Linked DNA regions of Arabidopsis thaliana. The protein of the gene in region 1 purifies or fractionates together with the protein of each later gene. This does not show direct contact. Each region holds a gene or a part of one and is shown in the gene's direction. Other genes may lie near its edges.

What was found.
Region 2: the proteins of CYCB3;1 (region 1) and AAP7 purify together in Arabidopsis thaliana (affinity purification with mass spectrometry, with the first as the bait; one large-scale study listed by BioGRID). This does not show direct contact.

The regions. Positions count from the first base shown.
Region 1 is NC_003070.9:5,581,848-5,589,209, reverse strand, and holds CYCB3;1 (cyclin b3;1), read left to right. Parts: upstream 1-1,748; 5' UTR 1,749-1,818; coding exon 1,819-1,833; intron 1,834-2,139; coding exon 2,140-2,179; intron 2,180-2,259; coding exon 2,260-2,320; intron 2,321-2,416; coding exon 2,417-2,452; intron 2,453-2,594; coding exon 2,595-2,655; intron 2,656-2,748; coding exon 2,749-2,800; intron 2,801-2,886; coding exon 2,887-2,983; intron 2,984-3,138; coding exon 3,139-3,174; intron 3,175-3,364; coding exon 3,365-3,419; intron 3,420-3,652; coding exon 3,653-3,707; intron 3,708-3,798; coding exon 3,799-3,856; intron 3,857-4,109; coding exon 4,110-4,164; intron 4,165-4,280; coding exon 4,281-4,326; intron 4,327-4,426; coding exon 4,427-4,517; intron 4,518-4,760; coding exon 4,761-4,815; intron 4,816-5,027; coding exon 5,028-5,312; intron 5,313-5,390; coding exon 5,391-5,513; intron 5,514-5,641; coding exon 5,642-5,731; intron 5,732-5,820; coding exon 5,821-5,982; intron 5,983-6,061; and 8 more. Other genes in the region: ATKDSA2 (Aldolase superfamily protein), read left to right, coding at 62-146, 270-328, 443-487, 590-688, 777-824, 904-951, 1,031-1,087; AT1G16320 (plant/protein (DUF2358)), read right to left, coding at 7,278-7,362.
Region 2 is NC_003076.8:8,026,593-8,031,391, forward strand, and holds AAP7 (amino acid permease 7), read left to right. Parts: upstream 1-1,645; 5' UTR 1,646-1,868; coding exon 1,869-1,950; intron 1,951-2,029; coding exon 2,030-2,266; intron 2,267-2,455; coding exon 2,456-2,549; intron 2,550-2,653; coding exon 2,654-2,874; coding exon of another isoform or gene 2,875-2,930; exon of another isoform or gene 2,931-2,972; coding exon 2,973-3,106; coding exon of another isoform or gene 3,107-3,145; exon of another isoform or gene 3,146-3,228; coding exon 3,229-3,456; coding exon of another isoform or gene 3,457-3,546; exon of another isoform or gene 3,547-3,571; intron 3,572-3,730; coding exon 3,731-4,138; 3' UTR 4,139-4,296; downstream 4,297-4,799. Other genes in the region: AT5G23820 (MD-2-related lipid recognition domain-containing protein), read left to right, coding at 4,794-4,799. UniProt on the Arabidopsis thaliana protein: Amino acid-proton symporter. Stereospecific transporter with a broad specificity for neutral amino acids.

The DNA.
Region 1 (7,362 bases):
TGTACAAACTTTTGTTCCCTGGTATATTGTAGTGACTGATTTCATGTATATCCATTTTAAGGTCATGAGAAACTCGGCTGAGAAGGTTAGACTCGCAGGGAATCCAAATGTGATGGTTTGTGAAAGAGGAACCATGTTTGGATACAGTAAGTTAACTGTTCTTTGTGTCAATAGAATTCACCAATTTTTTTGCAAATAGAGACTAAAATAGACTAAAAGACACTGGATATAACTCCTGAGTGTCCTTACATTTTAATTTTGTTCCTCAGATGATTTAATAGTAGATCCACGAAATTTGGAATGGATGAGGGAAGCTGATTGTCCCGTTGTGAGTTAATATTGCTTCTTGTTCTTTTCTTGTTGTGGGAGTTTATATCTTGGCTTTGGCTTTATACTTTGATGTTTTGACACTCGTATAATATAATTTAGTTATTGGCTTCAGGTTGCTGATATAACTCATTCATTACAACAACCTGCAGGCAAGAAGGTATGGTCATTAGAACGATGCTCTGAGTAATTTAAGAAAATGCTTGGTGTTTTAAAGCTAAATCAGAATTGGTCTAAACTCAAACATACCTTGTTTATATAGTTAGATGGTGGGGGTGTTGCTAGTGGTGGCCTTCGCGAATTAATACCATGCATAGCAAGAACCGCCGTAGCTGTTGGTGTCGATGGAATTTTCATGGAGGTATCCAACTTTATCGCAAGTTTTGTCATCTCGCTGAATCTTTGTTCCAATTTGGTTATGAAACTTGGTTCATTTTCCGGTGAATTAGGTGCATGATGATCCTTTAAATGCACCGGTCGATGGTCCAACACAATGGGTGAGTTTTACTTTTTTTCAGACCATATCCATTAGTCTAACACAATGCATTCTTGATCATCGTTTTTCTTCCCGTTCAGCCTCTGCGTCATCTAGAAGAACTGCTAGAAGAGCTCATTGCAATCGCGGTAAGCCCTTTACATTATCCCATAAAAATTTAATCTGTTTCCTTTTGTTGTAACATTGGCTCTTATAACATCTTTGCAGAGTGTCACAAAGGGGAAACAACAGTTCCAAATCGATCTCACGCCTTATCGTGATTAGAATCAAAGGGTGTGTTAGTGACCGATAAATCAAGATAGAAATGTTGAACTCTCTTTGTTTGTTTTCTCATCATTTGCTGATTCTTTTCTGCATTTTGCAGGTCCGTACGTCACTTTGGGTGCAACTACATCTTCTTGATAATATTTCAATCTTGTCGGAGCAATAAGCATTATTTGGCAAAACACATCTCTCCACAGTGACTAATGTATATTCAAAGTAGCTGATGTTGCCTGATATGATATCAAATGTCTAAGTTTGTTTTATTTTTGAAGAAATAAACAACAATTAGAAGTTAAATTACTTTTTATGTCAACATAAAGCACTTTTTCTATACCTGATCTTGTAGTCTTTTCTTTAAGTTTTTTTACATAATGCATGGTTTCTTTCTATGGACTTGAAATTTATGTTGTTGCACTTGCACAGTATCCTCTGAGAAACTGAACAAACTAACAAAATGCAAACAGTGAAGTTCTTTTATTTTATTTTTTCAGAATAATAGAATGATGGGTCTGACAAGCTCTAGGTTGGATTAAAATGGGCTTGGGTAAACAAAGCCCAAACAAAAGCAGAAAATACGTAGCAACAGAAGGGGCATAATCGTAAATTAGATAGGCTCAATTTCAAATACTTGAGAAGCGGCGTCGCTACTTTTGGGAATTTGCAACGGTAGAACTCTCTTGCAATTGGGTTTCTGGGAAGAACAAAGCAGAAGATCTGGAGATTTGAGGAAAATGGCGTTCGCGAAGGTACGTGAAAATCCTAATTTCTTCAAAAAACGAGTTAGGGTTACTACGTTCATCGCAGATGAATTTGAGATTCGAGCGAGGGCTTGTTATTTTAAACGAGATTAGGATTAGGGATCTTGAATTGTTTCGAAGATAGAAGATATTATGGTATTTGCCTATTTCTGCTTCTTTTATCACAAGATTAGATTCTTGAGTTTTCAGTAGCTTACTACTCTCAGATTTGGTTAGTTAGATCAACTTCATCTTAAAATCACAGGGGATAAAGCCTTGCTTCTTATTTCACTTACGATTGATTTACTTTTGTAGGCACCACGACTAAGTAGAGATGATATTCTTGGAAATCGAGGTAAGAGAGACTATTTTATCCTCTGTTAGTTACTTGGTGAACCTTATTCAGTTCTAAAAAAATGTTTACATGTTAAACAGTGAGTACTAGGAGTTTCAAAATCTTCTCCGATAATCAGAAAACTGATCCAGCCAGTACAATGTAAGTGGATCCTCTTGCAATTCATCTTTCAGTAATCTGAATTAAACTGTTGCTATTTGTTAATCTGGATTAAACTGTACCTATTTCTTTCTGCAGAGGTACTTCACAGAAGAAGACTCGTATTCCTTTGAGGTTTGTGTTGCTGTTTTTACAATTATTCTGTTTTCTTCCATCCATTACATGATGTATTTACTGGTGCATATTTTGGCTTGATCATGAAGAAATTGACTTTACGAATCTGTAAGAATTAATCTTCTGCTTTTACATTGTTTAGGAGAAAGTCTGTAACAATTAGCAATGGTTTAGGAGCAACTTCTAACACAAACAATATGAAGGTTTATCCCTTTTCCCTGTTTCTGAGTTCATACAAGTGTTGGATGTTATGCACTTATTCACATGTTAATGCACTTTTGTTTTGATTCAAAAAGAAGGAAAATTCGAGAATCACAGGAAAGGGCAAAAGCAGTATTGAAAACTGGGGTAAGCTTTATAAGGGAGAGTATATCTTCATTACATTTTTGGGACCTAGTTTTGAAAGTTAACTCCGATATTTGTCTCCTTTTCAGAGGAATACACTAAAGTCACAAGAAAAGCTTTGGCTGATTTAAGTAATCTTGGTGGGAACACTCTAAGGATTCCAACGCTTTGTGGCAGCAGTACCATGTAAAATTGCTTAACTTTTAAGGGTTTTTTGTTATCCCTCATGGAAAAGAGTTATTAACTGCCATGGTCTTCACTTCTTAATCAGTTAGTTAGTTTTTATTGTACTGATTTGCATTCTGTTCTAAAACTATTCTACTGAACATGCAACAATGCAGGAAATGGAAAGGTGTAAAAATGGCAAATCCGAAAAGGTATGCAGTAATCGTTAGCTGCTGCTATACACATCATATACATGCAATACGTTACATCTCTACTTAGGATTAGTCGTTCATCTCAGTTGATGAGCTTTTACAGAACGAATCCGTACAGTTCCATGTATATAATATCTGATGTTTGAAAATGAGTTGATGATGCTGGGCTAATTGACCTTTCCATGTGTAGGGTCTCAGTTGGTCCAACCAGAGCTAATAATATCTCAGTGAAAAAGTCTACTAAGGTATAGCAAGCGTATTGGCAAACTATATCATGTTGTATACTTGCAAATTACTATGACTAGATGCAGTTATGAGATTAACCAGAATATCACAATTCATCAGCATATGAGTTACAGCAAATATTACAAACTTTGTGTCTTAAAGCATGAGATTCATCAGTTAAACTACTTGATGGCCATTTCCTTCATTTTTCTTGCAAGCCTTGATTCTAGATTGTTTCTTTTTTCTGATATAGGAGAATGTGAGTAAAAGAACCACCGAACTTGGGAACAATAACCTTTACAAGACAGGTGACTTCCTAAATGTTATGTTTGTTTTCATGGCTATGGCTTTAGTTGATCTTTGCCATTTATCTTAACTTTGTTTTAAATCATATTTTAGGTCAGAAATTCATCAAAAACAAAACCTTGAGCCTTGGATCAACGGCTGGTGGAACAAGGTACCTTCGTGCTAATCTCATGCATAATAGATTATCCGCTTCCAGACTAGTTTGAAGAATTTTCCAAGAAAAAATAGATATCTTGTTTATGCCCTACATTACCTATCAATATGTCAAAGCTCTCATCAAGTAACCTGTTGTTCATTCACCATAGCGAAAACATTATTAATCTACCAGCCATTTTCTTTAGTATCTGCTGAGAATGATTTACATCATTCATTGATTAACTTCCTTGATTGATTTGTGCTTGCAGAAAGTCCTTACCAACTTTAAAGAGAACAAGCCTCACAGATAAGAGCTTAAAAAAGGTTGTTATCAATCTAATTTGAGATTGTTTTTTTTTCTTACAACTGGCTGTACAACAACTCGTGAGGCTAATCATTTAGGACAGTTTACTAATTGTGTATTTACTATCTTGGCGCAGTTCAATGTCTCAGGCTTAAATTCGAAACAATTGGGTCAGGGTCTAGGTAACATGGATTTCTTTTCTAACTTCTGATGGAAATGTGTATGTTAAAATTGTAACTTGATTGGTCAGTATCTGATATGATTGATGTTGCATTGTTTCAGCCAGTAAAGCCAGCAACCAAGCTGTCCCGCAGCTAAGCAGTGCCGGAACCTATACTTGGAAAACTCGAACAAGTGTCGGCTCTATACAATCGTAAGTAAATATGCTTAATTCTGATATCATCATTAAATAAGTGAAGTTGTTTCTCTCTTGCGTATCACACATGTCTACTTCCAACTATCAAATTGTCTACATTCACAGAATCCTTGTTTGCATTTTCATTATCAATGCACGACTTTTTTACATCTTGGAGAATCAGATTATTTTTTTCTTTTATCGTTTGTGGGCAGCAACTTATATCCCAAGTTGCTAAGTTTATTTTCTTTACATGCTTAGGGACGGCAATAAGCAGAGTAAGAATAACGTCCGTTTCGTAAGGAAATCTATCAAGGTATACACCTTAGTCCTTTCATATCTATGCAAGTGATTCATTTCCATTAAAGCCACACTATTTGGCCTTGGCTATTATCATCATTGAACTGCTAAATCATTCTTCTTTCATCTTTGTTTTCTTGCTCGTGATCATTTCATCGGGCAATAGTTACAGTCGTATTGAGGATTTTTGTTTATTAAATATGTGATAAGCTTTCTCTCTTACTCAAGATCCAGACAACTGTAAAGACTTCGCTACAAAACCGTAGCTCTCTTAAGAAGCCCCCAGTGGGTAGAAGTAAATCAAGATCTATTTCTTCAATCCCTTCTTCTGCAGTTGCCTCAACACTGTCACTTCCGGAAAAGGTTGAGACAAAATGTCTTGAAGAAGACACTCAAGGAGAGAGTTCATCTAGTGGAAACAAAGACCCAACAACAAAAGTGTTGGATGTTACAGCGAAGCCAAAATCAAAACGTAGAAAGTCTTTCACATCTCTACTAGTGAATGGATCAAAGGTTCGTAATTTATTAGTTGTGTTGTTTCTTGTGACTTCTTTTTCTCTAATATTACTAATTTGGTAATTTTACTTGCAGTTCGATGAGAAAAATGGTGAAACCACAGAGCCAGAAAAACTTCCAAGCATTGATGATGAATCCAATCAGCTGGAAGTTGCAGAATATGTGGATGACATATATCAGTTCTATTGGACTGCAGAAGTAATCCACTTATTTCTTCCACATACATCAACTTCTTTTTCTCTAATATTACTAATTTGGTAATTTTACTTGCAGTTTGAATATTGAATTTTAGCTTTCCAGTAGCTTAACGTGAAATATTGTTGCAGGCATTAAATCCAGCTTTGGGACATTACTTGTCAGCTCATGCAGAAGTCAGTCCAGTTACGCGTGGAATTTTGATCAACTGGCTTATCGAAGTGAGTGCAGTATATTTTTGGTTCCATTTCAACTTGATATTATCCCTACTTCTTCTTGTGGAAACTTAGGTTTTACTTATTGTTTGCAGGTTCATTTCAAATTTGATCTAATGCATGAGACTCTTTACCTGACAATGGACTTATTAGACCGTTACCTCTCCCAAGTTCCAATACATAAAAATGAGATGCAATTGATAGGTCTTACTGCACTCTTATTGGCATCTAAATATGAGGACTACTGGCATCCTAGGGTAAGAGACATTTATCCTGAAAGCTAATACCTCTCCTGAAAATAGACATTTACAATCTATTTTCTTTGTCCATGTGCAGATCAAAGACTTGATCAGCATATCCGCAGAATCATACACCAGAGAACAAATCTTGGGAATGGTATATAATGAACTCTGTTTATAGTCAAACTTCTCTATTCTTTATAAAAAATACGGGTCATTTGCGTATTTCCCCTTGTAACTTATCCTAATTTTCATTTTCAGGAGAGAAGTATGCTTAAACAGTTAAAGTTCCGTTTGAATGCACCCACCCCCTATGTTTTCATGTTGAGGTTCCTAAAAGCTGCTCAATCCAATAAGAAGGTACGCGAAAAACCTGCATTGTATGCTTTAATAACCTATAAAATTCTTCTGTTTGAATAGGTAGACATTGAATAGTATTATTTCTATTATCAGCTTGAACAACTCGCCTTCTACCTTATCGAGTTGTGTTTGGTTGAGTACGAAGCTTTGAAGTATAAGCCATCACTGCTATGTGCATCAGCCATTTATGTTGCCAGATGCACTTTGCATATGACTCCAGTTTGGACCTCGCTCCTAAACAACCATACCCACTACAATGTCTCCCAGATGAAGTAAGTTAAAATCTCATTAATAACTCCTCCTTGTAGATCACTTAGACTAGTTACATTCTTTAACTAATCTTACACAATTTTCTTATCACAGGGACTGTTCTGACATGATCTTAAGGTTTCACAAAGCTGCTAAAACAGGAAACCTGAGGGTCACTTATGAGAAGTACATAAATCCAGATCGCAGTAACGTCGCAGTCTTGAAGCCCTTAGATAAACTCCCTCTCTAAGTTGAACTATACAAAAGTCATGGCAAGCCTGACCAGTCTAAAGGTGTGTATATATATACATATGTTCATGAGCTGAAAACTTGTTTTCTATTCGTTTTCTCTATTGAACTGATCTTGTTCATCCTTACTCGGAAATTGCAGGGAGATACAACATTTACATGGACTCTAGCCGGATATTAAGAAAACTCAGGCTAATGGTGATTCTTTGATTAGGTGTGTTGGTTTTTTTCTGTGTGTTTAACCACTGAGTAATATTACTGTTTCACATAATCATAAAGACAAAACTCCATTGTATTGATAACGTTGTATAAAGCTTTTGGAACAACATAACAATTCTAGGTTTCCCAAGAATTAAGTCAACCAGATCTACTCATATATATGAAACCTTTAATGTAAAAACTATATACACCTGAGAAGTGTGACCTTGAGTGTCTATATCGCAACTCTACTTCCACTATGAGCATGTGACTAAACAGTCTGTTGTTACAAACATATCCTCTGTCTCCAATGTCCCTCTCACCGCTTGATAAAACTTAACC
Region 2 (4,799 bases), on another chromosome or scaffold:
ACGTAAAGCAAGACCTATGTGGTCTAGTCTTCCCAACTATTGTTTTCCCTTTAAAGAATTAGTGTTAGTTCATTTAAATGCGTCTAGCCCATATATTTTGTATATTCATATGCTCTAACCTAAATAAAGTATTGGATCCGTCCATGTTTGTTTATAGAAGCAATTTTCATGTATTAAACCAAAAAAAAATCTCAGGCCGAAATCTGAACATGTTCATATAGATTAATAGATATATGTCTCCTATTATAACATTGATATTTGTGATTTAGGTTTCTTCTATTCGGTGGCTAGGGTTGATTCTTTCTTTTGGCATGTCATCTAGGGGCCAAAATCTGAACATGCTCATATAGATTAATAGATATATATGTGTGCGCATGAGAAAATTCCCAAAAAATGTTTTGTCCCACTTCTTCTCTGTAATTTGTCTCTCGAATATGTTCATATAGGTAGTAAGAGCATGCCCATTGGTTAGACTCTTAATTGGAGTCGTTAACATTTTTAATATTAAATTTTGATAATTTGAAAGTTAAGAATTATTGATAAGTCCTTAGTATTATTATTGTCCAATGGTAAAAATTTTAAGTGAGTTTCTTAAAAATTAAAGTTTTTTTTTTGAAATTATGTATTTGATTAAACTTTATAATTAAAATAAATATGAAATTTGTAAACATACATTATAACAGAAACGAAAAAGAAAAAAAAATACAACGCAAAAACTTGAATAACGATTAGATTTAAACTTGATTGTAAACATACATCATAACAAAAAAAAAATTACCAATGAGAATTTGACACGTCAGCGCACCTTAACCTCACAAAAAACTCTAAGCTAATTAAGGTGCATTTCTTAGTTTATATCACATTATTGATTTATTTATTGCATATTTCTTAAGGATTTTTAGCTAAGAAACGTTTAAGAATCACCACTGGGAGTGCTCTTAACAAAACAAGTCTTTTGAATTATAATATTCGGTTCTATTGTTTTAGAGCTTTCTTTCTTGAGTACTTAGTTTAAATTTTCTCTCAGGTCATATGGCCATGTATTAGGAATGTGAACGTTGGTGATGGATAAATGCATCTATATTCATATTTGAACGTACGTTTGAATTAATGTATGGTGATCGACAACGAGCGAAACTGCATACTTCTCTTGTTTACTTTGCAGAAAAATGTATCTATATTCATATGTATTAACTTTTTAAAAGTTGGGTAAAAGAAAAAATCTAAAAGTTTGAATTAATGTATACTAGACGTGGCCTTGTCAAATCCTGTTAAAGTTGATCAATAAGCGTACATAGACGAGCACATATAAAATCATACAATTTCATATTTCGTGGGATGAAATTGAATTGAGTAGTACTTATTTTCCTTAATTTTTTTTTCTTCTTAATTTTCTTTGTTGCCAGAAAAATGCTTAATGTATACATTATGCTGAGATGGGATTTCCAATTACACATTACTAATAAAAGAAAATTTTCCTTTTAAAATATGTCATTACAAAAGTTTTTCTTTTTGGTTTAAAAATATAAAGTTAAAGGTGATGGACAAAATTAAAAGTAATGAGATAAGCACATTATTCTTTTCGTATTCTAAGCAATAAAAAAATGGACCATCAACCATTCCAATCAAATGACTTAAGGTAGATGTGACCATCGACTAAAATATCTTATATTATTCATATGAACACGAGTTTTATAAATTGGTACACGTAAATTTACAATAATAGTAGTAGTCAACCATCTGTCTTCCAATTCACTTAGACAAGGTTTCATTCCTCGGTAAGATAAAATGAATTCACATCGTGTACCCGCATAAATAGAAACAAACATACACATTACCAAATAACTTCATCTTCGTCCACACAAAAAATGGACATTAAAGAAGATGACGAGTCTCGAGTTATAACACCAACCGAGCTTCAACTTCATGATTCAGTTACTGCAAGAACAGGTAAATCTGTTAGTAATCATATAATCCATAATCATTAGTAATCAATCAAATAATTATTACGTTGTGTTTTCTTGTAAAGGAACGTTATGGACGGCGGTGGCACATATAATAACAGGAGTGATAGGAGCTGGAGTGTTGTCGTTGGCTTGGGCCACGGCGGAGCTCGGCTGGATCGCTGGTCCGGCCGCCCTTATAGCCTTCGCCGGGGTCACACTTCTCTCTGCTTTTCTTCTTTCCGATTGCTACCGTTTCCCTGATCCTAACAACGGTCCCCTCCGACTCAATTCTTACTCTCAAGCCGTTAAATTGTATTTAGGTCAACTTCAAAACTAATATTTCCGATAAGTTCAACTAGCGTACTATCTTGCCACCTAATGGAAAAGTTTTCAAAATCACGAGTTTAAATACATGCAATAAGAAATAACAAACTAATTTGGTCCGGAAAACTAAATTTTTATTTTAGTTGTAATTTAAATTTATTCATATGGGTAATTTTGATTTGCAGGGAAGAAGAATGAAATTGTATGTGGAGTCGTTGTATACATTTCCCTTTTTGGTTGTGGCATTGCTTATACCATTGTTATAGCTACATGCAGTAGGTAATAACATATGTAAACATATTTCAACTGTTGTTCTATTTCCTAGGAATTTTTTATTTTCCAATATTGATACGTAGAGTTTTTTGTTTTTCATTTCATTACAGAGCAATTATGAAATCGAATTGTTATCATAGAAATGGACACAATGCAACATGTTCATATGGAGACAACAACAACTACTTCATGGTTTTGTTTGGTTTGACTCAGATATTTATGTCACAAATACCTAATTTCCACAACATGGTATGGCTCTCTCTTGTCGCCGCTATTATGTCTTTTACTTACTCGTTCATTGGCATCGGCCTCGCCCTTGGCAAAATCATAGGTATAGATATTACTTTTTCTTTGTCAATTTTGATTTTGAGTATAAAATTATTTTGAGATGGGGGAAGACAATCAAATAACTTTGTTTTTGAAATGAAGAGAATCGAAAAATTGAGGGAAGTATAAGGGGAATACCAGCAGAAAACAGAGGTGAAAAGGTATGGATAGTGTTCCAAGCTCTTGGGAACATTGCCTTTTCATATCCTTTCTCAATCATACTTCTTGAGATTCAGGTAAATAATTTTACCTTCATGCATAATGACGCCAAGTAAGATTAATTAACACATTAAATAGCACTACTCTTAGAGATCAAGAAACCTTTTTTTTACGTGTGTTAAATGAAAATTAAGGACAGGACACATTGAGATCACCACCGGCAGAGAAGCAAACGATGAAGAAAGCCTCGACGGTTGCGGTATTCATCCAAACATTCTTCTTCTTCTGTTGTGGATGTTTTGGGTACGCGGCCTTTGGAGATTCCACCCCGGGAAATCTCTTGACCGGTTTCGGCTTCTATGAGCCATTCTGGCTCGTCGATTTCGCCAACGCTTGCATTGTTCTTCATTTAGTTGGTGGATATCAGGTATCTCAGAAACCCCTTGCCCATCTAACCAACATGCTCGTTGATTTTTATGTTTTCGTTCACATTTTAGAAAACAAACTACCATTCTAGTATTTTAGACAAAATATTTTTGGTTACTATGTGTCATTTTAACGTTTGCGTTTATGATTCACAAAATAAATTGTGTAAAATACCAAAAGAGGTTTTAAGTTGTTATGTAACATGTTCTAAAGCAAACAAACAATCGAGATCTAAAATCTTCCATACATTTCTAAAATATAGAATGACATTTTAGGTATACAGTCAACCAATTTTCGCGGCTGCGGAGAGATCGCTAACCAAGAAATATCCGGAAAATAAGTTTATCGCCAGATTCTACGGATTCAAACTGCCATTGTTGCGAGGAGAGACGGTGAGATTGAACCCAATGAGGATGTGTTTGAGAACGATGTACGTGTTGATCACAACGGGAGTGGCAGTGATGTTTCCCTACTTCAATGAAGTATTAGGAGTGGTGGGGGCACTTGCATTTTGGCCTCTGGCAGTGTATTTTCCTGTGGAGATGTGTATATTGCAGAAGAAAATCCGAAGTTGGACGCGACCATGGCTTCTTCTTAGAGGTTTCAGCTTTGTGTGCTTGCTCGTCTGTCTCTTGTCTCTTGTTGGATCTATTTATGGACTTGTTGGAGCTAAATTCGGATGATTAGCCAATGCCGATGTGATGTAGCGATCCTACTCTAGTTAATTGATAAATAAATGTGAGATCCGTTACAACTTATGTAAATGTAATTCGTATTTAGTATGAAATTTTGATTTTTAATGAATTAACTCTAAAGACGAATTTCCTACCATGTTTTATATTTTAAAACTACCATAAACAATCAAGGCCCCAAAATTATTGGAAAAGATTCAATCAAGGCCCCAAAATTATTTTTTTTCGGTAAGGTAGTCAATTCGTGTTGTCGTTATAGAACATGTGGTTTTGTCAAAAAAAAAAAAGTTTAAAATCAAATTTAATGTGTTTATAAATAATATAGTTCTTCGAGACGGATCGGTCTCTCCGAAATGAATCCACGTGATTGTGAATGAACAAAGGCGGTAGGTAAGGTAGTAAATAATTGACATTAAACACTAATATTATAACCTTCTCGTGTACAAAAACGTGGGGTTTAATATATATGGATATATATAATTTATGCAGGCCCTGGTCCAGAGCATCATATGCTAGTTATGATCCTATCTACTTATTCTGTAGATTATAAAATAGCAGACTTGCATAGAAACATAACATGTATTACAAACTTGTTTAGTCAAACTTGAAGAAGAAAAAAAATCTTTTTAAAGAGCTTTGAAGATCCATGGCG